4 linked regions of the Rhinolophus ferrumequinum genome follow. The protein of the gene in region 1 purifies or fractionates together with the protein of each later gene. This does not show direct contact. Links are inferred from orthologs where the notes say so. Each region holds a gene or a part of one and is shown in the gene's direction. Other genes may lie near its edges.

What was found.
Region 2: the proteins of SNRPB (region 1) and PRMT5 purify together in Homo sapiens (affinity purification with mass spectrometry; 4 studies listed by BioGRID and IntAct, with this or other methods). This does not show direct contact. The link is inferred for Rhinolophus ferrumequinum from reciprocal best matches to the Homo sapiens genes SNRPB and PRMT5.
Region 3: the proteins of SNRPB (region 1) and TGS1 purify together in Homo sapiens (co-immunoprecipitation; 3 studies listed by BioGRID and IntAct, with this or other methods). This does not show direct contact. The link is inferred for Rhinolophus ferrumequinum from reciprocal best matches to the Homo sapiens genes SNRPB and TGS1.
Region 4: the proteins of SNRPB (region 1) and DDX20 purify together in Homo sapiens (co-immunoprecipitation; 4 studies listed by BioGRID and IntAct, with this or other methods). This does not show direct contact. The link is inferred for Rhinolophus ferrumequinum from reciprocal best matches to the Homo sapiens genes SNRPB and DDX20.

What each region holds. Positions count from the first base shown.
Region 1 is NC_046306.1:24,784,051-24,791,628, reverse strand, and holds the start of SNRPB (small nuclear ribonucleoprotein-associated proteins B and B'), read left to right. Parts: upstream 1-4,562; 5' UTR 4,563-4,698; coding exon 4,699-4,701; intron 4,702-6,996; coding exon 6,997-7,148; intron 7,149-7,578. UniProt on the Homo sapiens protein: Plays a role in pre-mRNA splicing as a core component of the spliceosomal U1, U2, U4 and U5 small nuclear ribonucleoproteins (snRNPs), the building blocks of the spliceosome.
Region 2 is NC_046289.1:73,505,512-73,512,402, reverse strand, and holds the start of PRMT5 (protein arginine N-methyltransferase 5), read left to right. Parts: upstream 1-3,875; 5' UTR 3,876-4,020; coding exon 4,021-4,130; intron 4,131-4,787; coding exon 4,788-4,906; intron 4,907-5,214; coding exon 5,215-5,300; intron 5,301-5,476; coding exon 5,477-5,611; intron 5,612-5,954; coding exon 5,955-6,067; intron 6,068-6,222; coding exon 6,223-6,272; intron 6,273-6,474; coding exon 6,475-6,638; intron 6,639-6,891. UniProt on the Homo sapiens protein: Arginine methyltransferase that can both catalyze the formation of omega-N monomethylarginine (MMA) and symmetrical dimethylarginine (sDMA), with a preference for the formation of MMA.
Region 3 is NC_046297.1:22,291,812-22,298,679, reverse strand, and holds the start of TGS1 (trimethylguanosine synthase), read left to right. Parts: upstream 1-3,850; 5' UTR 3,851-4,018; coding exon 4,019-4,122; intron 4,123-6,868. UniProt on the Homo sapiens protein: Catalyzes the 2 serial methylation steps for the conversion of the 7-monomethylguanosine (m(7)G) caps of snRNAs and snoRNAs to a 2,2,7-trimethylguanosine (m(2,2,7)G) cap structure.
Region 4 is NC_046305.1:43,201,731-43,209,634, forward strand, and holds the start of DDX20 (probable ATP-dependent RNA helicase DDX20), read left to right. Parts: upstream 1-4,886; 5' UTR 4,887-4,901; intron 4,902-5,085; 5' UTR 5,086-5,133; coding exon 5,134-5,434; intron 5,435-5,835; coding exon 5,836-5,930; intron 5,931-7,623; coding exon 7,624-7,792; intron 7,793-7,904.

The sequences.
Region 1 (7,578 bases):
CCTGATCTGTGAAAGTGGATCTGGGCCCTTTAAATAGTTTTCCTTTGCCAGCTGGCATGAGCAAGCTCTGGAGCAACATTGCAGGAGGAAGGGTTCCTCTTTCTTGGTTCAGTTGGCTCTTTCACCAGACTCCTGGAGAGTACCCCCTTTTCCTCCACTGGTCAGCCAGCACAGTTTCTCCATGCTAGGTGCCTACAGGACATAGCTTCCTCCACCGATTGGCCACTCTGTCTTCTCCACCTCTTAGGCAGTGGTGGCATAGTAGGGCGTCCAAAGAGCACAGGCCTGTGCCCAGCCTAGGCTACTGCTCCTTCACCCTCTTTTCAGCCCCCAGGAAACACACCCTGGGTCCCCACTAGGCTGGCTTTCTGGCAAGCAGATCACCTGATTTTAATCCCATGGAGAGGCCCAGGGCCTCCCCAGCCTGGGTGCTGCTCCCCAGATCCTCTTCTCAACTCCATGTGCATGTGCACCAGGGTCCCAACAGCTACCCATAGCTGCCCCAGCCTAAGCCGTGCACAGAAGTACATTAGGTTCTTACAGCTTTTCAGCCTCCATTTCCAGCAGTGCCCATCAGCCCGAGGCCCTTCAGACACAGACACTGTGTGATCCAGGCTTTGTGTCAACATTAACTCCCTACTCTCTGCATACTCAACTCGATTTGTCCTTCTGCCTACCAGCTTTGGCTTGCCTGTATTCCAGAAGGTTATTCCTGCTTGTCGGTTGACTGTAGACCAGCTCTGGCCTGTGCAAAGCACCCACTAACCCAACTTTTCCATCACCCAGTGGGTTGTGACTACACCTCCAAGAGGGCTGAACCCCAGCCTTGGGGAGGGAAACTTCCTTTCAGGTTTATCCTTCCTTAGTACTTTCCCTCAGCTAAAGGTTTTCTTTCAATAGGTACAGTTCCTCTCCTATCATTGCATAATAATTCTTTATGTTAAATTTCCCATTTAAATTTTTACTGTGTGGTTTTTGTCTCCTTATTGGACCTAGATTGATACAGATGTGAATGTGTGTGTGTAGTTTTTATATGAGGGCAAAGACATGAACTTTTGATGGCATTTATTCAATGAACCCATAAGCCAAAGAAATGACTCAAGTCAAAGTTATTATTAATAGAAAGTGAGGCTACGGCCCTGAATCCAGACACAGAAATCTAATGCGCTAGGCCAGGGAATGGCAAACTACAGCCTGAAGGCTGAATCTGGACTGCCACCTATTTTTGTAAAGCCTGTGAACTAAGAATGGCTTTTACATTTTAAAGGGTTGAAAATAATCAAAATAATAATAATATTTTGTGACACATGTTTGTGTCCATAAATAATGTTTTATTGTAACACAGGCACACATTCATGTATTATCTATAGCTGCTTTCATGCTACAATGGTTGAGTTGAGTAATTGCATCAGAGACCATATGGCCCACAAATCCTAAAATACTATCTGATCCTTAACAGAAAAAGTTTGCTGATCCCTGATCTAGACTGAACCTTGGGAGCACTTTACCAAAAGCCAAATGAATAATCTATTTAACTTCATGCTCTCGAATCCATGACTCCTTTTTTCTTATATGTAGAAACTGACAAGCTGATTCTAAAGTTTGCATGGAATTTCAAGGGATCCAGAATGCCAAAATAATTTGGCAAAAGAAAAATTAGGAGGACTCACATTTTCTGATTTCAAAACTTACTACAAAGCAATGATACTAACATAAGAATAGACATATAGATCAATGGAATAGAATCGAAAAGTCAGAAATAAATCCACGTGTCTACAGTTAACTGATTTTCCACAAGGTGCCCAGACTATTCAATGGGGGAAGAAATAGTCTTTTCAATAAGTGGTGCTGTGACACTGGATAGCTCCCTGCAAAAGAGTAAAGTTTGAACCTTACCTTATACTGTATATAAATATTACTAAAAATGTATCAAAGATCTAAATGTAAGAACAAAAACTAAAACTATGAGAAGGAAACATGGCTAAATCTTCATGATCTTGGATTTGGCAAAGGATTCTTAGATAATACTACCAAAAGCATGAGCAACAAAAGGAGAAAAGGTAAATTAGACTCCACGGAATTAAAAACTTGTGCAGGACACTATTGAGAAAGTGAAAAGACAACCCACAGAATGAGAGAAAATGTTTATTAATCATATCTGATATGAGATATGGGACTTGTATCTAGAATACATAAAGAACTCATAAAACTCAATCAGAAAAGATACATAACCCAAGAATGATATACAAAAGGCCAATAAGTACATGAAAAGATGCTCAACATCATTAGTCACCAGGGACATGAAATCAAAACCACAGTTGGATAGATACCACTTCACACGCCTAGGATGGTTGAATCCAAAAGTCAATAATAAGCGTTGGTGAAGATGTGGAGAAATCAGAACCCTCATACACTGCTTGTGGGAATGTAAAATAATGCAGCCACTTTGGAAAGCAGTCTGGCAGTTCCTCAGTTAAACAGAGTTACCAGTAATTCCACTCCTAAGTATACATGAAAGGGAAATGAAAGCATATGTCTACATGAAAACTTGCACACGTGTTTAAAACAGCATTATTCATAATCGCTAAAAGGTGTAAACAACTCAAATGTCCATCAACTGATGACAGAATAAACAAAAGTGGCATATCCCTACAAAGAAATACTATTCAGCCATAAAAGAAATGAAGTACTGATATGTGGCACAACATGGATGAACCTTAAAAATATGCTAAGTGAAAAAAAGCAGTTACCAAAGACCGCAGATATTATATGATCCCCTTGATAAAAAATGTCTGGAATGTCCTTCACTTTATTCAGGTCTCTGCTCCTGTGCCAATCCTCAGAGAAGCTTCCTCTGACCATGTAGCCAACATTACAACTCATCACTCTCAGTCCCCCTTCCCCACTTTATTTTTCTCATATCACTCTAATGTTACTTTCTAGAATGTATTCATTTGGTTTATTGTCTGCCTTTCTCACTAAAACATGAACTCCTTCAGGGAAGGGACATTGTATCTCAGTAATAGTGCGTGGCCTTAGTAGGTGCTAAATAAATATTTTTTAAAATGCATGCATCAGTGATATGTTAAGAGGCAGGGTAATTTGGGAGCAGCTGAGGAGCCAGACGGTACCATATGTCTGTTCTGATGCTGCCACCTTGGGCAAGATAATTCATCTCTCTGAGCCTCCATTCTCTTCCTCTACAGGTTGACAGAAACAGGACAACAGAATATACATCTTAGGATGGTGTGAGGATGACAAGGTCCTGAGGTGGAGGCTTTCCTTGCTGGCTTTGAGGAACAGCAAAGAGACTGGTGTGGCTGTGATGAATGAGGGGAACGTTGAAGGAGATGAGGTTGGAGAGGGATGCAGGGCTGATTTTATTCCACGTGTGCTGGGAAGTTATTGGGAGGTGGAGAGCAGGGCAATGACATCATTTGATAAAATCCCAGTACATTAGAGAAGAATCCCTCTGGCTGCTGTGAGAGCAAGAGAGGAAGCAAAGAACAGTTAGGGGCTCATTCAGTGATCCAAGTCAGAGATAATGGTGGCTAGGACTGGCGTGGTAGCAGTGGAACTCGTTTCAACAGTCAGATTCAAGACATTTTGAAGGTGAGGCACATAGGATTTGCTGTTTATGAGAAGGGAGAGAAATAGGAATCAAGGATGCTACCAAATTTGTCATTTTGTTTTCTAACCCAAGAAACTTCTGAGATGGGAAACACTGGTAGAAAGTGGTATTGGGAAGAAAATAGAATCAAGAATTCAGTTTTCAACGTTAAATTTAGTATGGCTATTAGACATCCATGTGAAGCAGGTGGCTGGATATAAAAGACCAGGCGTTAAATGAAGAAACCAGGGTTAGAAGAATAGATTTGAAAAAAGCCTGAACCTATAGGTAGCATTCAAAAGACATGGGACTGGATGGGATTGATTGATTGAGTCAAATAATTATTAAGCCTTTATTTTGTGCCAAGCAGTGTTCTAGGCACTGCAGCAATGAACAATACACACAAAAAATCATACGTTGGAACTTACATTCTAATAGGGAGGGACAGCAAAATAACTAACAAAAAAAAATAGTATGTTAGCGATCAGTGTTAAAGAGAAAAATAAAACTGGGATGGGTGGGAAGGTTGCAATTTTAAACAGAATGGCCAGGGAAGTCCTCAGTGGGAAAATGTTATTTGAACTTAAGTCTTGAAGTTGAGGGCATGAGCTATGAATGTACCTGGACCACTAGCATTCCAGACAGGCAACAGCAAATGCAAAGGTGCTGAGGCAGGAGCACGTCCAGCAAGTTCACGGAAAAGTCGGGACAGTGGCTATAGAGCAGAGAGCAGGGGTAGAGTAGTGGGAGATGAGGACCGAGAGTTAACGGACCGGGCCGGGGGATGACAGTGTGCAGGAGCAGCTCCTGCACGAAGGGGTCCAAGGAGAATCCTAAACTAACCGAGTTCAGTTTGGTTAGCGCTGCCCAAGCCCAGCCCAACCTCCCGCCCCGCTCTAAGATTCCTTTTCCGCACGGTGGGCGGAACGCGAGGGCAGGGCTCTGGGACCGGAAGTAGTTTTCTACCCGAACCCATTTTGCTCCCGGACGTATTTCCGGTAGCGGCGGCGGGAAGCTGGCGACTGGAGGCCCTCTAGGCCTCCCCACAGGCGAATCCGGCGGGAATCCAAGCCATCAGAACCGCCACCATGGTGAGGAGGCGCAGGCTGGAGGCGCGGGAGCTTCCGAGTCTGTTGTTCAGGCGGGGACCGGGACTGATTGGCGGGGAAGGCCGTGCTTGGCCGCTCATGGCGATGAAGGCCCGGGCCGCGGCCGCTCGGTCAGGGCACTAAAGACCCGAGACCTTGGTCGTTCGGCGGGTTGGGGGAGGGGAAGGCTGGCACTGAGGGGGAAGGCCGGGGTCGCTCGGTGGGGGCGAGGATGGAACTGCGGCTCTCCACGCCGCTGTAGCCACAGTACTTGGGATCCTGTAGGAACTAAGTAAACTTTTGTAGAAGAAATGTGTTCCGGGGTTTTCGGAGCAGGCACTAGAGCCGCAGGAGGACTAAGGAAGACCTACTAAGAGGCTCAGACTTGTGAAGGGAGTGAGGGTCTGAGCAGTTACGGAAAAAGTGCAAGGGCTTGCGGCCGAAACTGGAGTGTTCTTGGATCTAGTCGGTGGCGGGAACGGTAGGGTGACTGAGAATGTTTGGAGGAAGAGTTGAACTCATTTTTTCAGCATGTATGTATGAGTACGTCGGACTTTTCAGGCGCTGGGGCTACACAATGAAATGTTTCCTACACCGAGTTGACTTTGTAGTTGGAGACACCGGTAATATTAGGTTGGTGCAAAAGTAATTGCGGTTTCTGCAACTTAACCTTTTAAACCGCAATTACTTTTGCACCAACCTAATAGAATTCAGAGTGGTAATAAAGCATTGAGTGAAAGTAATGGCGGGAGGCGAGCAGGGTAAGAATGCTGTAGGGAGTAGAGGATTCCTGAGCAGAATTGTACAAGGTTGTTAGGTGTTTTCCCAGCGAAAATGAGAGGGGACATTATAGATAAGAAAGGATGCGAGAGCAAAGCATGAAAGGTAGCACTATTGAAAGTTGCTGGAGGGGGAAAGGAAGAGCTGGAAGTGGGGCTGGGAGGAATTGGCAGGAGGATGGTTACTAAAAGGCTTACATTCTGCTTAATCCTGCTGGTGATGAGGCGTGTCGTTGAAGGCTTGTAAGGAGCAAAATGACATGAATTTAAGTTGTGTTTAGAAAGATTACTTTGTTCTGTAGCTGTTCTGTGTAGGGTGAAGTGAAAGCAGGGAAACCTGGCAGGATACTGTTTGGGGGAATTTTGTCTCCCAGCTTCAGTGGCTTCATCTGTAAACTAGGAACAATGGGACTGATTTTGAGATTTAAATGAGATACATAGTGCTTATCACAGTTCTTGGTATACAGTGAGCACCCAGTAAGAGTTGGTTGTTGCTGGGTGGACCAAAAAATGTTGCCATAAAGGTTCAGATCTTTGTGGCCAGAAGCTGTGTGATTACCTGCCAGTTAAAAATAAGAGTCATCTAAGAGAGACTGAACCATATAACCTGGGTCTCCAGGGTGAATGTCAAGATTCTGATCCACACATTTGTGGGTTCAGAAACCCGTTCTTGTCCAAGCTCACAGAAGTGAACAGCATACCCAGGCCTGGCATTTGAAGGCACTTGGATGAGTTAGGACTGGCCCACACCATTCACTGATGGGAGGCTGATGATACCCGGATCAAATGCCAGGGCATTTATTTCTAGAGAGAACTATAACTGCCAGGGGCACCTGACAATTTGCATTGTGATGTGTATATAGTCTATTTTAACAAAGCTATACTGGAATCCAAGTAATAAAGCAGAATAGATTATTGGGTTAATTAAGACGTGTAGCGAGTTACATATTCTTAAAGACCATGTGTGTTCAAACTGATTAGCACACTGGTCACCAGAAAGCTTTCCTCCCAAAGGTAGTCTTGGAGGCACACTTATTTGGGGATTGCATTCTCACCTCCACGCTGACCAGCTCCTTTCTGATAAGCTTCTGGTTGATTGGATTTTTAGTGCCAGTCCCATTCCAGCTCTTTCCTCAGTCTTTTTAATGGGATGTGGGTGACAGCACTGGAGTCACACACCTAGAATCCACAGTGGCAGATGACTAATCTCGTATGGGTGGATTGGATTAGTTTGGAGACATCCTGCACTCACCCCTGAAACACAGCCTAAACAAAGGCAGTTGTAATACGAAATGATTTGAAGGGGAGGAGAATAATAGTAGTGGGTAGAGGTCAGGGCTGAACACGGGGTGACACGGGAGGATTCCTGGCAAAGGGCTGTGGCTGGAAGACAGAACTGAGAATCTACTGAGAAAGACAGACACATGGCAAAGAAGGCCACAGCAGACTTTTGAGGAAGGGCTAGGGATATGTGGGTCCCAAGGAGCCGAGTGTCATCCCCACTGATCTCTCCTTGCAGACCGTGGGCAAGAGCAGCAAGATGCTGCAGCACATCGACTACAGGATGAGGTGCATCCTGCAAGACGGTCGTATCTTCATTGGCACCTTCAAGGCTTTTGACAAGCACATGAATTTGATCCTATGTGACTGCGATGAATTCAGGAAGATCAAGTGAGGAGTGGGCTGTGGGGAGGGATTTGGGGGAGGGGGGTAGATTGGGTGGGTGGGCCAAGTGACAGGTCATGTAGTTAGCTGGTTTCTGTCAGTTTGTTTGCTCTCCTGGTTGAGAGGGCAGATTTAAATGGGGACATTGGTCACTAAGAAATCGCCTTCCTTAGCCCAGCAAGCCTGTTCTGTAGTTGTAGCAGAGTACAAGTTGTAAGGAGAGCTGCTAGGCTTTTTGTTTCTCTGACTTTCTTGTGCCCCTGGGTACTGGGGTAAAGGGCTCTCATGTTCTCCCCACAGGTGTGTGAGGGGGGAGAGCTTGATTTTCTGGCCTCAGTGCCTATTTGTAAAGCTGTAGCCTAAAGGGCTTTCCCAATGCAGCCTGGTCTGAAACTGCTTTAAGAAGCCTCTGACCCTCTTCAGGGTAAGTGCTCAG
Region 2 (6,891 bases), on another chromosome or scaffold:
GAATATTAAGACTATTAAGAATGTTTATAGAAAATGAAATTAACTTATGTTCTCTTTGGTGGCTCTTAAAAATGATCAAATGTTTTTCTTGTTTGGATTATTTTTGATCTATTATATAAATAAATTTTCTAATACCTAACCTTGTGTAAATTCCTGAGATAAGCCCTAATTTGTTGTGGTATATAATTATTATGCCAATGCACTCTTGAGTTTTATGTGTTAATCTGAAATATTGTAGTATTTTACATTTATATTCATAAGTGAGATTGGTCTATAAGGTTATTTTTCTGTGTGTGAGTGAGGGATGCTATTTCTGACAGGTTTTGATATTAGGTGTATTCTGGCTTCATAAACAAACTGGGTAGTTTTCCATCTTTTTCTGTATTCCAAAACAGTTTTTACTTTCTATCCATTTTGACAGATAAATACTGTATAATAGAGATGACAAAGAAGAGAATGCAAATCACACAGATTATTTTGCCTCAGTAACTCTGCCACTTTTGCGGCTGGAGGACAGCCTTGATTGTGAAGCAGCAATTTGAACCAGTAGGAGGGTCAAGCGGGCCATTACTTTGGTGTTGAAGAGTGCGACTGGCTGGGCAGGCACAGAGGTGAGTGAAGGTGGTCCCCGGGAGGGAGGCCAGTGCTGAGGGAGGAGGGCAGCACAAGGGAAGATGAAAGGAGGGTTTACAATGGGCTGGAAGCACCTAGAAACAGCATCAGTTAGAAGAACTGGGCCTGAAGGTGAGGAATGCTGGCAGGCCCATTGGAGGAGGATCTGGGGAGTGAGTACCCCTTCCTTTCCAGGAAAGTTTCCAATGCTCTGGCCTGTTGGTCACTGGCTCCTATTGGAGTAAGTAACATTCTTTCTTACGCAGGGTATTTACCCTTTTGTCCTACCATCTCTCTCTCTTCGTCCCAGCCGAGGCCTACATCTAGTGATTCACATGCTTCTGAGCACAAGAGTTCAGCATGGAGGGCAAAGCAGACGGAAGCAGAGCATAGATAGACTTCACTAGCTTTGACTTTATGCCTGGGAAGAGTCCTTTACAAGATTCTCTATTTCTTTTTCAGTCCTTTCCTTCTGCTTCTCTTATAGCTCATATAGGCAGACCTATAGTACATGCTGTTTTTTTAAGGCAAAGGGAAGTGCTGTATGAAAGGCGGGGAGCAATGTGGAATGGAATTACTGGGAACTATTCAGCATTATGCTTGCCATACAGCTGAGGCCATTTTAAATGAAAAATCAAAGACATCACAGACAAATGAAATCCAGCCCATCTAAACTTACTTTAAGGTCAGTCAGAAATTCTAGGCTCTTTTTACACAAATTCTTTTGAAAATTATTTTATGATGAAAGTTATTTTAACTGATGGCAAAACTGACATTACTGTTTTATAGATTTTCCTCTCTCCCTCTCACCCATGGATGGATTAGTTAACAACCAACGGAGCAGCCACCAGCTTGACATCAGGAGGAAGATGCCAGAAGCACAGATGGTCCACAACCCAGATAATTAGAAACAACATCTACTAAGTCTTCTGTGAACGCAGAGTTTGGTTGGGCACAGCTGGGGCAGAGAACAAGCAAGCCTCCTCAACAACTCTTTTTTTTTTACCTCTTAAAATGTCAGAGGAACACTCACTCACTCCAGGTGGACAACCACCTACTCACAAGACCTTCAGAGAAGAATCCAAATAAATATTGCAGATACTCCACCCTAAAGGAAGGGGAGCATAACTCCCCCCTCCTTAAATGTGGGAAACACATGGTATAACAACTTCCTTCCAAAGAGTACGTGATGGAAGTAGGGGAGAGGAGAGTGTAATTCTACTACTGCTTCTATCAGGTGATAAAAGTCAATATCAACAGTCATAAATTATGTCGATAATATGTATGGCACTTTGCCTCTCTGATCTTCCTCCCCCAAACCCATAATCTCAGCCTATCATGAGAAAACCATCAGACAGATTCCAATAGAGGGGCATCCTACAGTATATCTGACCAGACTTCTCAAACTCCTCAAAAACTACTCTCAAGGTCATCAAAAACAAGGAACATCTGAGAAACTGTCACAGCACAGAGGAGCCTAAGGAGATAGGACAACTATATGTAATAAGGTATCCTCTATGGATGGGATCTTGGAACAAAAAGAGGACATTAGGTAAAAAGTAAGGAAATTTGAATAAACCATGGACTTTAATTAATGTTTTCAATACTGGTCCATGAATTGTAATAAATATACCATACCAATGTTAAGATGTTAATAAAAGAGAAAGCTGAGGCGAGGCATATGGGATCTTGCTGTACTATCTGCTCAATTTTTCTGTAAATTTAAAACAAGTCTAAGAAATAAAGTCTAATAATAATACTAATACCTGCAGGAGTCAAATGAAGACTAAGATGGGACAAAAGCACCTCCAACCCCTTTAAGCTTCGCAGACCTTTTAATTCTTTGGCTTTTGGACTCTTACCCTTTTGGGGCATTTACATTGCACCCAAGACTCCTTAGAGTTTATCCTACACACACCCTTCCGTACTTCCCAGGACCTTCTCCCCCACAGGCCAGGGTGATCTCATTCAGTCTAGGGACTTTAGTCACTACCTCTCTTCTGGCGATTTCTAAATCTTGTCTGGTTCAGGTCACTGTTCATCTAACTCTCTATTACGCAGCGCCCCCTAGGCGTCCAATTCAGCATTTCCAGACCCAAACCCGGATTGTCCTAAATCGGCTTCTCTCGTTGCTTGTCTAACCCACACAGAGATCAGAACCTTGGGCATCACCGTGACTTCTCTTCCTCACGGCTCCCTGCCAGTCGGTCCCTAAGTTCTGTCAACGCCTCCTGCTTAGGGCATTTTGTACCGTGTTCTCCTTTCCATCTTCTCTGTCAGACCCTGAACACTTCTGGGCTCTCCTCCCTATGTCTTTCCTTTCTTCATTCCTGTCTTTCTTTTCCATTCCTATAGCAGGTATTAATAAAGGAAAATGTAGAGATCTCCCTCTAGCAGGTACTGACAAAGGAAAATGTATAAATTCTCTGAAGCCTCCGCCTGGCAGTTTATGACTCCTCTACTGTAACTGCTTACCATGAATTCCTTTTCTCTATCTTCGGGTGTGTGTGTGTGTGTTTGTGTGTGTGTGTGCGCGTGTGTGCGTGTGTGTGTGTTTATTTACATGTTGTGTTTGAGATATAGAATCACGAGGAATTAGTAGCTGAGTTGCCACAATGTGTGTGTGTGTTTATTTACATTTTGTGTTTGAGATATAGAATCACGAGGAATTAGTAGCTGAGTTGCCACAATGTATTTACAAATATAACATACTAAGGCCCACACAAAGCCTCTTTTAAGAGCACCAGCCATTAATCCAGTTTTCACAGGGCTCATAGACCTGAGTAGTGACACAAGAACCACCCTCGAATTAGGTAACGGAGAAGCTGACATAAAATGGCTGCAGAACTCAATCAAATTTAGACCTGAAAATAATGGCGTGAGAAGATAATGAGGAAACTTTAAAAAGTGTAATGAGATCTAAAACTTGGTGTTCACGGCCGTATTGCACGAGCTGCAATAATTAACCGTTTGCCTCACACGAGCCAGCCAGGAGTCGAACCTGGAATCTTCTGATCCGTAGTCAGACGCGTTATCCATTGCGCCACTGGCCCTGAGACAATTGAAGACTCCTCGATGATGATACTTCAAGCTTATATGGCAGGGTTTCATGGGACGTGTAGTCCCCTAACGAAATTTTACGAATAACACGAGGTATTATGGGAGATTGAAACTCGTAGAGAACCAGACCCTGGGACTGGTGGATATTCCGGAGCTACGCCGCACGTCACTGTACAGCCCGCGGATTGGCAGGAAGAGCCATTCCCCATCCTTCCTCTCCGCTGAGAAGCCGTGGAAGACGCTCTGGTTGTTAGGGCGACTCGTCCCGCCTTCCGGGGGCTTTTTTCCTGGCTTTATGATTGGCTGCTAGTATCAAGAAATCCCGGCGTGGACAGCGCGAGGGAAAAGATGGCGGCGATGGCGGTCGGAGGTGCTGGTGGGAGCCGCGTGTCCAGCGGCAGGGACCTGAATTGCGTTCCCGAAATAGCTGACACACTGGGGGCTGTGGCCAAGCAGGGGTGAGGGCCTGGGATTCCGGGCGGGATGCGGCTCTGAACTCGACGACGGAGAGGGGCAGACTAGTCATCCCCGAGAGTCAGGGGTGAGGGGGTCGGAGTGGAGAAGATGAGGGCGGGAGAAACCCGTACTCCTTGAGGGAAGAAGCTTCGGGCCCTGGAGCGTCAGAAAAAAACTTACTGGGGGCGTGTGGTCTCTGACCCTAAAAGTCTGGGTTGTCAGGTAAACTCAAAAAGGGGGCGTACAGACCTCCAGGGCCCTGGAGAGCGAGTGTATTGTCTGAGAGTGAGAGGAAGTGTTACGGGGCTAGGGAGCGAAGAGATAAACCTTGAGTGGGGGAGGCATGGGTAGTACTGGGGCAGATCTGGATGTGACAGTCCTGGGAAACCAGTGATAGTAGAGTAGAAAATCTACTTGGTTTGCATTTCATCTTTTCACCTTACTCATGTTTTCCGTGGTTGTGTTTTGGGGAGAAATTGAGGCACAGTGTAGGGGAAGTGATATGCCCCAACATGAGCTGAACTCAGCAGTCCAGTCGGTTGACTGATGATGGCAGCTGAAAGGGTTGTGCAGAATCCAGATAGCCTAATCCAGTTGCTTGGATCTCTGGGCACTGCTGCTCTCTTTACATGACAATTCTGGGTCTGTCGCGGTTGTAGGTTTGATTTCCTCTGCATGCCTGTCTTCCACCCGCGTTTCAAGAGGGAATTCACTCAGGAACCTGCTAAGAATCGACCGGGCCCCCAGACACGATCAGACCTACTGCTGTCAGGAAGGGGTAGGGACCATCCCATATGCCCCTTAATTATTCTTAGAGGCAGTAACAACTTCTTCTTTATCAGTGCCCTCATTCTCCTTTCCTGACTTAGATATATTGATTAGTCCTTAGGATACAGATAACTCTTTTCTCCTTGCTTACCTGCTAAAAGCCTTAGTTTCCTAATCTGCATCAGGCTATTCTGTGTCTATGATAGAAAAAGTGTTTTTCTCTTATCTCTACTTTATTCCCTCTTAAGAACTAGAAATCAAACAAGTAAAGTGCCTAACCTCATTCAGTCTTTGTCTTTCTTGGGTGGGGGAGTGCAGATTGGAATACGCTAATTGTGGGAAAGCTTTCTCCATGGATTCGTCCAGACTCAAAAGTGGAGAAGATCCGCAGGAACTCCGAGGCGGTAAGACTGTTTGACCTCTCCACTGGATCTTTCTAAAGATCAGGTCTGTAACCAAGCTGGGTGGGTAGAACAGGTTTCCCCCCCACCCCTGTAATTCAGTAACTCTGATATAATAATGCAATTAAAGCTATATGGATTGTTAGCTCTTAAACTTTTCCTCTTAATCTCCATTCCAGGCCATGTTACAAGAGCTGAATTTTGGAGCATATTTGGGTCTTCCAGCTTTCTTGCTGCCCCTAAATCAGGAAGATAACACAAACCTGGCCAGAGTTTTGACTAACCACATCCACACTGGCCACCACTCCTCCATGGTACGGCTGAGGGCCTCTTTTCCTACTGCATATTATAGTAGTTAGCCTTCTTGTTCCTAGCCATTCAGTAAAGGGTACATTTGGTAGAAATGTAATGTCAGTACTGCCTACCCCTGTTTAAAAGTAGCGAGCAGGGAGTTATAAAATATAAAGAATATATAATTATTTATACAAATTTATACTTGGAATAGGGGACAAGACATATTTACATAAGAACATACATATAATCATAAATTGGCAAATGCATATAAAGGGGTTAATTTGAGATCTGGATCGAGATATTTTAATTGAAGGAAGCTTTCTGGACCCACTGAGTTTTAATAGAGTACTTGTTCATGTACAGTTCTGGATGCGGGTACCGTTGGTGGCACCAGAGGACCTGAGAGATGATATAATCGAGAATGCACCAACTACACACACAGAGGAGTACAGTGGAGATGAGAAGACGTGGATGTGGTATGTCTCCTTTTGCTGCTGTACGAAGGCAAAGGGTAGGGTGAGGGGAAGTACAAGGTGGAACCTGTAGGGTTGGCCTCCTTGGTAGGGTTGGCTATGGTTATTGGTGAGCCATATGTATTTGACTGTAGTTTTCTGTGTTTGACTCTGGACAGGTGGCACAACTTCCGGACCTTGTGTGACTATAGCAAGAGGATTGCAGTGGGTAAGTCCACAGGGGTCTTAGGATAGGTATTCCTTCTCTGACTTCCTGTGAATAAGAATCAGGAGTTTCATGTAGACTCGGCTGCTGGGCAATTTTGCTGTTTTTCTGTGCTTCGTAAGGAGTAAAGAGATCTTGCGCAAAAGAGCAAGGAAAGGCTTCTTTCCTAACAGTAGTTGACAGGTCTTTCTTTTCCCTTGTGTAGCTCTTGAAATTGGGGCTGACCTCCCATCTAATCATGTCATTGATCGTTGGCTTGGGGAGCCCATCAAAGCAGCCATTCTCCCCACCAGCATTTTCCTGACCAATAAGAAGGGATTTCCTGTTCTTTCTAAGATGCACCAGAGGCTGATCTTCCGGCTCCTGAAGGTGGGTGGTAGAAGGGTTCTAAAAGTGCTCCAACTAATCCTTTTGCCTTATTCCCACATGTATGATGCTTTTTTCCTGTGGGGCTGACTCTTCCTCTCTGGGTTCTGGAGAGCAATTTCAGCAAAGTTGGGAGTCTTGAGAGGAAAAGACAAATGGCAGTAGGAGCCCCAGAAACATTTCAATAGGAACCAAATCTTACGAGAACTTTGCAGAAGGTTCCATTTAAGAAGTTACAGTGAGGATCCATGGGGCC
Region 3 (6,868 bases), on another chromosome or scaffold:
GGTTTGTATCCTGGGAGGCTCTGCCACTTACTGTTTGACCTACACAAGTTACTTAATACCTCTCTGCCTCAGTTTCTCCATCTATGAAATGGGGGTAATAACAGTACCTACCTAATAAGACTGTTGTGATTATTTTATATAAAAAAAGCTTAGAAGTGTGCCTCCCACTATGTATACACTAAGTATTGCTATCACCATCGTCATCATCATCATATTACCTGCTTGCTTGTGAAAAGATGGAGTTTCAGGAAGAATAGGTTTGGGGATGGGATGAAGATCATGAATTCAGTTTTGAACATGTTAAGTTTCTATTGGACATCCAAGTGAAGACGTTAAACATACAGCTGGACATCAGCAGAGTTTAGCAGGAAGATCAGGGCGAGAGAAATATATGTAGGAACTGGCGACATATATAGACAATATCCAAAACCACAAAACTAAATAAGGTCCCTCTAGGGCAGGGGTGTCCAAACTTTTTTCAACGTTTTTCACCAAGGGCCATATTCGGTAAAATACACAAACAGCCAGGCCACTCACTCGAGGTGAAGTACATATGGCCTCACCTGGTTTATTTAAGTAAACTAAATATATTTTTGGAATTTGCTGTGGGCCAATAAAAAATGGATTGCGGCCCACTTTGCCCGTGGGCCGCAGTTTAGACACCCTTGCTCCAGGGAGTGAATACAAAATAGCTTCGAGGACTGAGCCTGGGGGAACTCAACATTTTAGAAGTTGGGAAGACAATGAGGAACCAGCATCCTTCTTCCAGGAGCGGCATCCTGGATATAATAATAAGGTGGTTCAAGAAGAAAGGAGTATTTAGCTGTTTCGAATGATGCTCAGAGATCCAGTAAGATAAAGAATGACAAATGATCATTGGATTTTACAACAAAGAGGCATTGGGAAGCCCTAATAAGAACTGTTTTGAAACAGTGGAGATGAAAATCAGGTGGAATAAGTTCAAGAAAAAATGGGAGTAAATGAATTGGAAACCACAAATATGGACAACTCTTCAAAGGAATATTGTTGCAAAAAGGGATAGAAAAAGAGATGCATCAGTAAACAAATAGATGATTATATGAGAAAACATAGGTAAAGCACTGAGAATAATATGCCTGGTACATAGTAGGCACAAACACCAGCCAAATACAGATAGATCTAAACTTGTGTTTATCCAAGTCTTTGACAAAAATGTGGACCAAGAAGTGCCCTAAAACTTGCTACTAGAGAATTAACAAAGGAGTTTGAATAACAAGCTTTTGAGTTGCTAAAATACTTTTGATAATGTGAGAAAATGTGTTAGAACTCAATGAACGCAACCTCTTAATTTTTTAGAAAACAAAAGTTGAAAACAGAAAGCCAAAAAAACAAACAAACAGTAAGCCAAGTTGACTTGCCCAAAGTTACCAAACTAATTCACTGAAAAACCAAGAGCCAAAATTAAAACCTAGTTCTCCTACTTCCTATTCTGGTTTTCATTACATTTTCTTTAATCTCTCCCTCTCTCTGACAGAAAGGCTGAAAATATTAAGATTGCAATTTCTGTGTTCCCTCTACTTCTGCCTGGCCCTTCTCCTCCTCCAATCTACCACAGGCTGTTCTGTTCTTGACTCTACCACTTTATTTTAATCCAATAAAAACTATGGTTGTTAAAAGGTGTTTTGGGGGAGATATAACATTTTAGTTACCAAAAATTCCACATTATTTCCTATCAAAAAAAATCTACAATAAAACACAAACCTATGCATCACATAGAAAGTAGCTTAATTTTCCCATCTGCAACTAATATAATGTGTAAGAAAAAGTTCACAAGTTGAAATATCACCACATTGATACTGATGGTGAGGAACATTTACTATAACTGACTTTACAGACGTTTAAAATCAGAATATTTCAAAAACTAATAAATCAGAACACAGGATTTTTTGTTTGTTTTCTACAAAACCTTAAGGAAGTAAATCTACTTTTAAACACTATACCGTACTTTTACCACCATGATGGTAGCAGATCCATTTCTTACTTTTAGTACATGAGCCACATTGATAATATGCTGACAATGTCAATTAAAAGTAACACTTGCTGAAATATAAATTAATGTCCCCTTTTACTTTTTTTATATTTAATAATGGCTTAACAGGGGTTTTAGTACTCAGTTTTAGTGATAAGCATTCGATTTCAAACAATCAATAAAGCTGAAGTTTATCAGTTAAAAGATATCTAGCAAACCCAATCACTTTATCTTTAAAACAATACCTTTTAGATTTCAAGCTTTAAACTATAGGTTCTGATATAAATCACCTCTCACGGTTATTTTTTTTAACCCTAGAATGTGCTTCAACTTCCAGCTAAAAGCTTCCACTCTGTTAATTACCATTCTACTATTATTTTCTTAACCTATCCTCATCCCAAAAATGTTGCACATCTACACTGAGGTATATGTAACTGTGCAGCACTCTTAACTTCCTGAGTCACTAAAATGAGCTTATCTGACATAAAAGGCAGCAGTAAGAATGTTGGAATAAACGTATTTGAAAATTAATCTTCTCATTCCACTCGCTAGTAAATGCAGTCAAAATATTAGCGACTGTTCTAAATATCTAGATTTTTACCCTGGTTTTTAAATATTCTAAAGACATACCAATGCCATTTCGGCATTAATAGCACCAACCGAGTCCTAAGAGCTCCGCCGACGTTCGAATCTGAACGTGTTTCTTTTAGGAAGCTGCCTGAGTGGTCTCAACCAACACTCCACACCAAACACTGCTTTTTTCAAATCTAGCCGTGGTGTTCCAGTTTTCGACACCCTTGTTATGTGCAAATGTATTTTTCTTATTAATCAGCCGCTTGAGGGCAGAGACCTGTTTTACAGGCTGCACACCCGGGGGGACCAACAGTGCCTGGAGCTTACAAAGAATGTACCCACGCAAACTATTAATAGCACATATGAGGTAGGATTTAGTCCTTTCATTTACGATTTCATTTAGTCCTTTCAGCAGCCCTGGGGAACAGGTACTATTAATCATCCCTATTTTACAGATGATCACAATGATGCTCAGAAAGGTTGTCGCTAGCCCGGGTCACAAAGGTAGTAAAAGGGGCATAAACCAGGATTCCATGTCTGATTTGTCTGAATGCGAGCACACTTAACCACCACCAACGCGGCCTCTCAACTACACTCGTGACCACCACAGGATATCCTTTTATCTTTCATACACAGTAGGGTCGATTCTAAGCCCGGGATCAGGGGGGTCACACTGGGCAAGCCCAGAGGCCTCTAGTAAGGATGAAGACTCCTCGCTCCAACACTAAGAAGTGAAACACTCCGAACTGAGTGTTTTTGAGCGGCGAGAGGAGATGCGGAGCGAGGTGAACCGGATCGCTGTAACCCAGGCAGGGCCTCCCCTCCCCAGCACTCGAGTGCCGGAGCCAAACGCCGAGGCCGGCGGGAAACCCAGCCCGCCGGTCCCTGCCGGTTCCAGCCGGGTACTCCAGGGCAGCCCGGGGGAGACTAGCCGCGCGGCCTCCGCGGCTCACAGACAGCCCCGCGCGACTGACGCGCCCCCGGGAGGGAGGAGCGCGTGGAGATCAAAGCAGGGACCGACGCACCTCGGGCGGGAGAAGGCAGAGGGGGCTCGCCCTCACTCTGGAGCAGCGGCGGCAGCTCTTCGATGGCTCAGCAGCCGAGGGAAGCGGAGAAATGTGAGCGGCCTACTTTCGCGAGCAACCTTCGGTGAAGAAAAAGCCAAAAAGCGGCTGCAGCCCGAGCAGCGTTGAGCGTTACACCGCCCGTCGCCCCGCCTCTTCCTGTGCCCCTCCCCGAGCCACTTCCGGTGAAGGCTCCGTAGCTTGCTCTAGTTACTCCAGCTCGCTTCAGGCGGGAACGACCTCATCTCCGTTCCTCACCCTACACCACGGGGCGCGCCGGCGAGGCCTGCTTTCGGTCTCCAATAACCCAGCAGAGGCCGAGTGGCCGGTCCCGTGCCGTTTACCGCAGGGCTGCCTCCTCTGAGGTGGTAAAATGTGCTGCGAGAAGTGGAGCCGCGTGGCTGAAATGATTCTCTTCATTGAAGACCTAGAGGAGGATTATAAAATCCTTTGCCTCTGCTCCAGGGCGTTTGTGGAGTAAGTAAAAACGTCTTCCTCTTCCTTTCTAGCACGATCATTTCCCAGAAATGTAGGTGTTGCAGACTATTTGTAACTGCTCCCTGGAACCACGGACAGAGTATTTGACCCTTAGGCAAGGTGATGTTTAAGAAAAAGGGGTAAAAGTCCTCAGACTTTACGGAGTGGTCCCCTACTGCAGTTAAGTGAAGGAGTAAATCTACTTTGTAGGCTGTTAGGAAAAAAATGTGGTGGCTTATATATGTAATTTTATTTTCATTGTAAATACAGGGGCATTTTAAAATTGGGGGAAAGTGAAATGTAAAATGAAATCTCGTTAATGGATGTGACATCACAAGGTGATGGTTTGAAAGATGAGTAACTTGTGTTGGTTATCGTCATTTTTAAAACCTTAAGATTTATTAAAGCGCAAAAGCACACACATAGAACTTGTAATTACCTAAGGTAAAAGATTTAACTAATCACATCCGTTTTTGAGCAGTCTTTATCTTTGGAAAATATATGTTTTGGGTTAAAATTTTCATGCATGGAAGATAACTAGTGAGTAGGAAAACTGCCTAAAGAATTATATTCTAGGGATTGTTTTCTTTATATTCGATGTGTGAGTTCAGCCACTTAATTTTTGCTCATCTCTAAAACAGGTGTATTTACCATAATCATCTCACAGGCTTATTGTTAGATTCAACTTGTAGAAGTGAATTTTAATGTAGCTTAATGTAGTAGAATTTAAGTTTGAAACAGTGCTTCATCATTTGTTTTTGTGGGGTAATCTGAAAATCCGATAGAAATTAAACACTATGTTATATTTATGTGAAAGTATTGACATTTTTGTATTCACGTATGCATGTATTCATTCAGTCAACAAATCTTAGTTGTGCTTCTTTGTATTATGTACGAGTAGGCACGGGGGTACAAGACACAGCCAGTCCCTACACCCTTTGAATTTACTTTCTAGAGAAGGAGATCAATATTAAGACAACTGTTACATAATTATCTGATTAATTATAGTTATAAGTGCTATGGAAGAGAAGTACAGGATGCTGTGGTGGCAGAAACCTAACCTTTCTCCACAGATGACAATGATTTCTTTAAGGAAGTACAGTAGCATTTGAAAAGAGGTCTAAAGTGTGAATGGAAATAAACTGGGATATGTTTATTTAATGGAGGAAGCATTCCCCAATCAGAACTCTCTGAAAGCCTTGAGAAAGCAAAAGAAAGCCTGTGAAAATAAAACAAAATGACTGGGAAAGAAAGACAGAAGATAGGGTTCATGAAGTAGATAGAAAATAGGGTTAATGAAGTAGGCAGGATCAAAATATGCAGAGTTTTTTGGAGGACGGGATCATTTTTAAATGATCATTACGTTTTTAAAGATTACTCTAGCAGCAGGGTGGGGGATGGTTTAGAGAAGGAGAACCACTTAAAAAAACCATTTTCCAGGCAACAGATTATCGTGGCGTGGATAAGGATTGGTGGCAGTGGAAATGGAGAAAGGAGGAAATATAGGAGAGAAATTGTTGAGTTTAGGGGATTGGATTGGATGTAGGGGAATGAAGGAAAGGTAAAAGATGGGAAAGAGGAGAGTAGGTCAAGGGTAACTCCCTGGTTTCCAGCTTATATTGATGTGTTTCACTGAGATAGGGGTCACTAGTGAGTCATGGGTTTTGGGGGGTATAGCAGAAGATAATAAAAAGATAATCAACTTACTGTGTTTTGATTTTGGAGTAGCTATCAGATATCCAAGATTAAATGTCATAGGTACTTAAATATATTGGTTTGGAGCTCTAGAGAAGTCTTAAAACCTTGAGCCATTCTAGTATAGTCATTGAAGCCATTGATTTAGCACTTGGGGCGGGGGTTGGGAAGAAGTGGGATCCATCTTTGAGGAATTCCAACATTTTGTGAAGATTAAAAGGGGAGGAAAAGGTAGAAGACAAGCTCAAGTATACTGTCACCAAATGTTTGAAGAAAGGAGTACATTGGAAAGCTGATGCAATATCAAGCAAATTGAAAACTAAAAAATATCCACTTATAATTGGCAGGTTTTTTTAATAAAAGCTACTTGCTGAGTGCCAGGCACTAATTGTTTTACACTTCATTCTGTTTTTTTCCCCATGTAAGCATCCCAGCAACACCCTGAGATATGTCTTGTAATCTTTATTTTGTTCTAGTAGAAAACGTAGTCTCAATAATGGCCTTTTTAAAAAAAAATCCCAGTCAGGTAAGTGGCAGCCCTGGAGGTCTTTTAATTTGTCTAGAACATAAGTGAATCTTTCTGATTAAGGTATTTAAGTGGTCTAAAGTCACTGACACTGGTGACTCGTTAAAATACTTTAACATAATGTATTTTAGTTGAGATAGAGAACTGCTGCGGAAACTGAAGAGCCTGAATTTATCTCTGGTCATACCTATGTGACAGTGTCTAGTGGTGATGTCTGGTTTTTCATATACAGAAGAATCATAAACTCAACAAAATCATTGGATATGTCCTTTCCCACAAGTTCCTGAGCCAGAATTTAAAAGAATATTGTCCTTAGGAGCAGAATATCTATCTGGGCTTCACATCCCAGCTCTACCAATAATCAGCTGTGTGGCCTTGGACAAGTCACATAACATTTCTGTGATCTCATTTCGGCACTTTCAGAAAGGACTTCCTTTTATTACTATTATACTTGAAACTAATCCACAGCCCTTTTGCAGTAGAGAAATTGCTATTTGTACTTAAGAAATTTCCAAGAACTATTTA
Region 4 (7,904 bases), on another chromosome or scaffold:
AGAAAGCCCCTCTGCCTTGTTTAAAGCTGAGCCACAGCCTGAGGGGTGAAGAGGAGTAGAAAATGTGAGCAGAGCTGCCTTAGAAAGGCTCAAGGCTGCCTGAGGACAGAGCTGTGCCATCATCTGTGCCATCGCTGATGGCCCTCAGAGATACAGCCAGTCTCCTTTATTGTCAGGAAACTTGGTGGAGGGTGGGCCAAGGGGAGGAGAGAGCTGTATGCTCCGCACACGCCAGACCACAGACATGTATTTCTAGGTGCTCAGCCTGGCTTTGGGGTCTCTGGAGCTGGGAGACAACAGCAAGAAATGGTGAGACTCCGTCCACCTGAGTTTCCGTGGCTCTGTTCTTGGCATGGAATCAGCAGTGACAGGAGGAGCTGCCAATCTGAACCAGGGGTTCAAGGGAGGCTGTTTGGATGTGGGGTAGCTGTGTGTGTGTGTGTGTGTGTGTGTGTTTGGTGTGTATATGAATGTCAGGGGCTGGAGAGTAAGGCAGGGGATCTCTGGTGCAGAAACCTCACTGGTGTAGGGAGTTTAGAATTCCAGAACAAATCTCTCTTCTTGCTATTTAACCCTTTCATTTCCCTCCTTTTCCCGAAAGTTGGTGCTCAGCACCTCTTCTCTCTTGAGTAGCTCTCAGAAGAGAGACAAAGGGCTCTTGAAGGAGAACCCTTGCTTACGGTGATGGAAATTCTTTTTTTCCTTTTTGCTCATTTGTGTCACATTCTTTCATCAGGCTGGGCAACTAACAGGTGCACCCCTCCCCAGGCCCCCTTCAAAGTCCCCTCCCTGCCATTTGTGTCTCTCTGATACCCAGCAGACACCATCACCCACAGGAGCTGGATGTGATTAGCAGAAACCCGTCCTGACAGCTCCAAAGAGAATCCCTCAAATGCATATTCTATTGAGTGCATCTCACTGCGGCTGACAGCAGCTTTATCAATTAAATTCCACATTCTCCGTCTTCAGAGATGCCATGAATTTCCCTACCTAATAAATCACAGGCCCCCAGTTATTGTTAAATGTCCCATCAGTCTCTAATAAACTCCCTGCCAACAGGGGCAGGTTATTTATTATGCTGCCTGGACAAAAATGAATTGGGCCCCGGTCTCACAAGAAGAGCAAACGCGAAGCCTTTCTCCCTAAAGACTGAGGCTGTGGCATTAAACGGGGCAATTAATCAATGTGAGCCTTGGGCAGAGGGGCGTCTGGTCTGGAGAGAGGGAGGATGGCCTGGGGTTCTTGTCTGAAAGCCAGCCAGGCAAATCCCCAAGGGGAGAGGTGGCTTCACAGAGTGCAGGGGGCCTTTGCTCTGTCTCCCCCTCTCCTGAGTCCTATGTGAAAAGGTACTGAAGATATGATCACCCCATAGGCCATAGGGCACATGTCGAAACAGTTATTCTCCTGGTTGGGAGGTAGCCACTTAGGATTGAGCAGGGTCATGAAACACCAAATTCTGTCCCGAAGGCCAGATTCTATTCTGTGATAAACTTTATATATAACTTAAGTTTATTGATGAGGCTTATCCATTGGGCAGACAAACTGAAAAATGTAGGAGGGAAAGAGAACTCAGAAACACGTGCTCAGTCACTGTTTGCTGGATAAGCAGCATCCGTGTAGCACTGGAACGCAACATACCGACACCTACAAGACCCAGGAGATGTTAGGTGTAAAGTAGGTCTTGCAGTTACCTGCCACAAATTAGTTCCCAGACTTCCATGATGCTCCATGTTCTGCAAGTTAAAATCCAAACTCAAACCCCACTCTACATTTCCAACTGTATTTCTCTTTATTGCTACGTAACACTACCTCTCTTTGGGAGAGCACAACACACTCATTTTGTCTTCCTCACAGTGGCAGACAAGGTCTTCCATCATGTGGGACCAATATATCTCTGCTGCCTGGTTTCCTGGTAACTGCAGCCATACTTGCCTCCGTTCACACCAAAGATCTTGCCTTCCCTAAACTACTATGGTTTCTCCTGCTTCCACGCCTTTGCACAAACTGTTCCCTTTGCTCAGAATATCTCCCTAACAGGTCTGCATGGTAAACTCTCCTTCCACCCCCACTGCCTGGTGAACTCCTTATCTATCCTTCCAGCTCAGAAAATCAGCCCCCAGGGCTTCATGGGACTTGAGCTTTGTCTCCAGGTCTTGGCAGAAGTACTGGACTCCAGGGATTTAGGGAAGGAAGGATCTGTGCATGGAGTTTTTCTCATAGTTTCATGCACATTTTAAACCACTAATTTTGGGTGCGGATGAGAAGGGCACAGATGAGCTACTGTTCTCTGAATACCAAAAGCTGTTTTCCTCAATTTCTCAGAAATTGTAACTCTCCCCCACATGACAGCCACACTTTGAGCAACTAAGGCCCTGAAAAATGTCAGTACTGCATATGATTTTACACCCCCCTGTGCTATTTGAGTTTTTCCTCCTTGATCAGTGCCACCTACTTGCATGTATCTCTCTCCTTGAGGGCAAGGATCTTGTTTATTTTGTGCCATGTTTGTATCTCCAGCATTTGGCTGATTTGTATTAGGTGTTCAGATTTTTCTTGAAAGAATGAACAGAGATGTTTGTGTACTGAATGCAAGTAATAACGTTGCCTACCTTTTGTTACCTCGAGGGTCAAATGAGTAAAAAGTGGCTACAAAGACCTCTCCTTCCCTTTCCATTCTCCCACAGATCCTCATACCCAGGGGGGGCCGTCTTGTGTCTTGCATCTAGTCTTTTATGTACATAGTTTTCCTTCCCTCTGGGCCCAGAAACCTCCACTGCAAAATGATTGGATAGGACCATTTGAACCTCAACATCTATTCTGAGTCTAAGTCTTACTCCCACTTCTTCGGTTCACAGGAAGTGTTACCGAGCAAAAGGTTCAGCTGCTCACTGCATGAAAGCCAAAACTCGAGAGTTGAGGTTGGTGGGAAGCAAAGCAAGTTTTATTCCAAACTGCCGCATTAAGGGAAGACAGTGGACTCTCTGTCACAAAGACTGCCTTCCTCTATTAATATCGCCAAAAGGTTTTATAGACACGCAAGGAGGGGCTGAACAAAGGAAGAAGTTAGCCAGGCAACTTCGATTCCTAAAGGCTGGTCAGCCCCAGGGTCAGGAGTGAATCCCATACAGATGCAAAAACCCCTCCCAAATTACGAGGCCAGGTCTGCACACTGGACCGAAGTAAACAAAACCATTGGAACTGGTATGCATAGTAAATGCACAGTAAACAGAGTCATCAAGTTTTGGTGGGAGGAGAGGAAAGCAAAGAAAGGGAAAAAGAACTTTCGAGAAGTCCCAAGCCAAACCACTGTCAAATCGAATTACATCAGAGGTTTAAATTTCAAAAATATAAGATAGAGGGTCACTGTTAAGAATCTTTACTTCCTCTAGCTCCCAGGTACATGAGGTGAGGAAAGGCTTTCCAGGTAGACGGAACATCATAAAGAGGCTGGGGTCCCATTGCAATTTTATCCTGGGGGAGGCTGGGAGTCAGACAACAGTCCACCTGGTTTCTGTGCATGTTACTAACACACCTTACCTAGTTATTAAATGGTCTCTTACCTTTGTGTTTTATCTTTACAGCACTAAAAATTATGGTCACCAACATTATTGCAATTTTTAACTACTGATGAAAACATTTTATTGATTTTGTGTTTTTAGCTATGGCATACAATTTATTCCCAGTAACATTACTGTAATATTTGTGCCCATAAAACATCACAACCAACAAATGCAATAACAGAATGCTGTTAAAACAAAAAATATTCTTTTCTGGAAAGTTAGTCTTTTTGTTTCTTTTGATATGAGAGCTGGTTCTTCAACAGTGATTGGTGTGATTTCTACAGAACCACTCCTGTGTGCAGGGAGACCCAGCAGGGATTTTTGAGCGAGAAAGTGTCAGCCATTCAGTGTTTATTAGGTCCACCGAGGACCTGCTGCTGGGCTGGAGAGCCTCTGGTGACAATATTCCCTTCATTGAGAAGCTCATAGTTTATTTAGTGTGAGGGACAGACATGTAAACAAGTAAATAGAACATGGTAAGAGCTAGATTGTAATTATTTATAGTGTGAAATAGGAGCCTAGGGTGAGAAACAAAAAAGATTGTCAAAAGGAGCAGTACCTGAAGCTGGACCCAAACAACCTAAGATATCCAATTAAGAAAAATCACTCCAGCACCTGGGGATGGGTGGGGGGTTCGGGAAGGGGCGGTGGGTGGCGGGAGAAAGAAACTGGGCAGGGAGACCATTCAGGAGGTTGTTGGAATAGTGAAGATGATGAAGGGGCCAAATAGGACAGATGCTATGGAGACCAGAGAAGATGAATGAATGAAATATTTGGAGACAAAATTACCTGCGCTCAGTTAATTGTTAGGGGAGAGGGATAGTAGAAGGTGAAGTCTAGAGTAACTGCCAGGTTTCGGATTTGGGGATTAGGTGGATAAAAGAGGTGTGGTACTAAAAGGAAGCCAGTACTCCGCCTCCCCCTTAATCCACCTAATGGGAGTTGTCAGTTCCGTTCCTGGTTCCAATTCAATGTACCTTTATGCGAGTTCACCGTGTGCCAGGTACTGCTAGGGGCTGGGGACGCAGAATTGAATCAGGCAGTCCCGCGGGCCGACGGATACCCGCCCACGTGTCAATCCCGTCTCGCTATACTCGAGGCGCTGTCTGTGGGCACAGAGAAGGCCGAGGTGGAGCAGGAGAGGAAAGGGGCGCGGGAAGGCGACCGCGGGCCACAGGCACGCGGGCCGGGAGCGTGACGCGCTGCGCGCATCACAATGACAGCGTTGTAAGGTTGGCGACGCAGGACGCAGGGCTGAGACCCTCCCACCGAGAAGCTGGAGGCGGGCCCCCCACAGTGAACCCTCGGTGCCCTCTGCAGGCCGCAGGCGGCGACACACCGGTAGCCTCCCCTTTTCTCTCCTCTTCCCGCCTTGCGCAGGTCACAATTTTTCGTTGGTATAGCTGTTTCCCAGTCTTTCTAAGCCTCCGACTTCCGTCCCCGGTTCCCCACCTCTTCCAGGCCACGCTTGTCCGTGTCCGCACGGGAAGCGTGCTAATAAAGTTTTTCCTCTTCTCGCGCTCAGACTCCCCGCCCAGCCTCAAGTACCGCGAGATCTGGCGGCGCGGCTGCCATGGCGGCGGCGTTGGAAGCCCCAGCGGCTTTGGCTACCGTGGAGACCGTTACGCCCGCGGAGCCTATGGCGGCCCAGGTCTCAGCCCCGGAGCCCACCCCCGGGCCGGCGCGGAGCCTGCGGACGGCTCACGACGTCAGCGGCCCGCGGACCCGCACGGGGGACGTGCTGCTGGCCGAGCCCGCGGACTTCGAGTCGCTGCTGCTGTCGCGACCGGTGCTGGAGGGGCTGCGGGAGGCCGGCTTCGAGCGGCCCTCGCCGGTGCAGCTCAAGGCCATCCCGCTGGGGCGCTGCGGGCTCGGTGAGGGCGGGGGCCCTGGGGAGGCCGAGGGACGGCGGCGGCGGCGGCGGGGCCCGGGAGGGGCCCCAGTGCGGGGTCAGGCTGGGGCAAGGTGCTGCAAGCATTCGAGCCTCAGTTTCCTCTTCTGTGAAACGGAGGCGCTGTATTGGTTGAGTTTGACGATAGTTAAGGCTCTTTCCACACTGACAAGTGGTTCACGTTTGAGAAGATGAACGGTAGAGGTTCAGGGACGAGGCCCATTTCTGGATACGTGGCCATGCGTTTCTGAGAGTGAACTGAAAAACGAAGATGCTAACTAACTAGCTGATTTCTGGAGACCCTTCTAGCTCTGTGATTCATTATTTGGTACCTAAGCTTCTACAGTCAGTACTGGCCAGTGATAATGTTTTTTTCCCTTGCAGATTTAATTGTTCAAGCGAAGTCTGGCACTGGGAAAACCTGTGTATTCTCCACCATTGCTTTGGACTCTCTTGTTCTTGAAAACTTAAGTACCCAGGTGAGTTCAGCTCAAAGAACCCAGAGGAGGGGGTATTCTGTGCATTTTACCACAGGTCAGATGAAATACCAGTAGCTCCTGAGAGAGAGGCCGTGAGTTTAGTGAATGATTGAGTTAAGCCCTATGAAAAGTATAAAAAGGAGACAGTAAGGCCATTGAGTGGTGGTGCTGAGGATGCTGATCAAGGATCCATTCTTAGTGTTAGAAGTGTGGACTTTTCTATTACTACTGCATCTTAAATAGAATGTCTGTCATGTGTGTCAGTTTTGTCATCACGTACTTGAGAATACGGGGAGAGATTCTCTTTTACTTGCTGATCAGAAGAATGTGATGAGATTTAGCGTTTGGCCTGGTTCAGAGTGGTGTGGTGCCCTGGCTGTTGCTGGTAACTGCCCGTGGTTCTTACGACTCTGAATGTCATTGACCTATGCTCTGGGTTCTCATGGCATAGATCTAAGACGGCCTTACTCAAATTAACAGGAGATTTGGGTTTGGGGATCATTCAACAAAAACTTGCTGAGTTCGTATTATGTATAAACAGTATGCTAGGCATGGGGGATACAAAGCTGAATCCAATATGATCCTGATAGTTTTCCTTTGTGGTTTAGTAATTATGACAGACTGTGTTTCAAGCTCTCAGTCGTATATATCTGATAATGATTCTTCAACAGTGTATTTTAGCCCGGGTACCATAGGAAATCCTTCTACTTTCCAAGGACCTGCGCTATCCTACTTGTGAATTGAGATGTATTTGAGATTTTGCCTTGTGATAATTTGGCAGCAGGTCAGATGCCGAAACCCGGAATAAGATCCATAAATAAAATTTGTATTTTTGATTTTAAGATTTTTGTGTATCAAAGTAATATCTATTCATTTTTGAAAATTGGGAAAATTCATAAAAATGAAGAAGTACCAGAAAACAAAGTATAATTTCACCTATCCAGAGAGGAACTGCTGTTAACAATTCTGGCATATTTTCTCCTAGTCTTTTTTTTTCTTAAATAGTTTTTTTTTTTTTTTTCATAGTTGAGACTATGAAGTTTCACCTCTTCCTCCTGCCATAGTTTTATTGCAGTGTTCTCACTGACTTCCAGCATCTTCCATGACCTAGCCCCTGGAGCTAGGTCTTTGCCCCTTTCTTCCTGTGTAATTTGTCAGGCCACAGGGACCCCTTTGCTGGTCGTCAGACCCACCAAGAACACTAATGTCTTAATGCCTTTGCATTTGCTGTTTCCTCCTCCTGAAAACACTCCCCCACAGGTATCACACAGCCAGCTCTACTCTGTGGATATCTGCTCAAATGGTATCTCCTTAGAGGGGCCTTCCTCGATCACCTCATTTAAAATAACTTGTTGAGTTGCTTCTTTCTCTTTTCCCTGTTTGATTTTTCTTCATAGCACTTTTCGTTACTCGCCATTATTTGTATATGTCTGTTTATTGTATATCTTCTCATCATTCAAGAACGAAAGTGCCATGAGAGCAAGGACTTTACTCTTAACTGTTGACTCCACAGCAACTTGTATGTTGCCTAGGTACTTATTTAATGTTTGTTGAATGAATGCACGAATAAATGAATGGAATAGTTTCTTTTGTCCATAAAAGCTCATTTGAAATGATCGTTTAAAGGAAAGATAGTTCGTCGTATAATGAATGTGCCACTGACTCATTAAAGGTATATTTTACGTTTTCTTAGATTTTGATCTTGGCTCCTACAAGAGAAATTGCTGTACAGATACATTCTGTTATCACAGCCATTGGAATAAAAATGGAAGGCTTAGAGTGTCATGTCTTTATTGGAGGGACTCCATTATCACAGGACAAAACTAGACTTAAAAAGTGTCATATTGCCGTTGGATCTCCTGGTAAGATATCAATGCCTGTTCATAACTGGGGCTTTTAGGAACTGAACACTTTTAATATAACAATAATATGAGACTCTTTGATAACTGTGATGATTATTTTGAGGATTAGAAA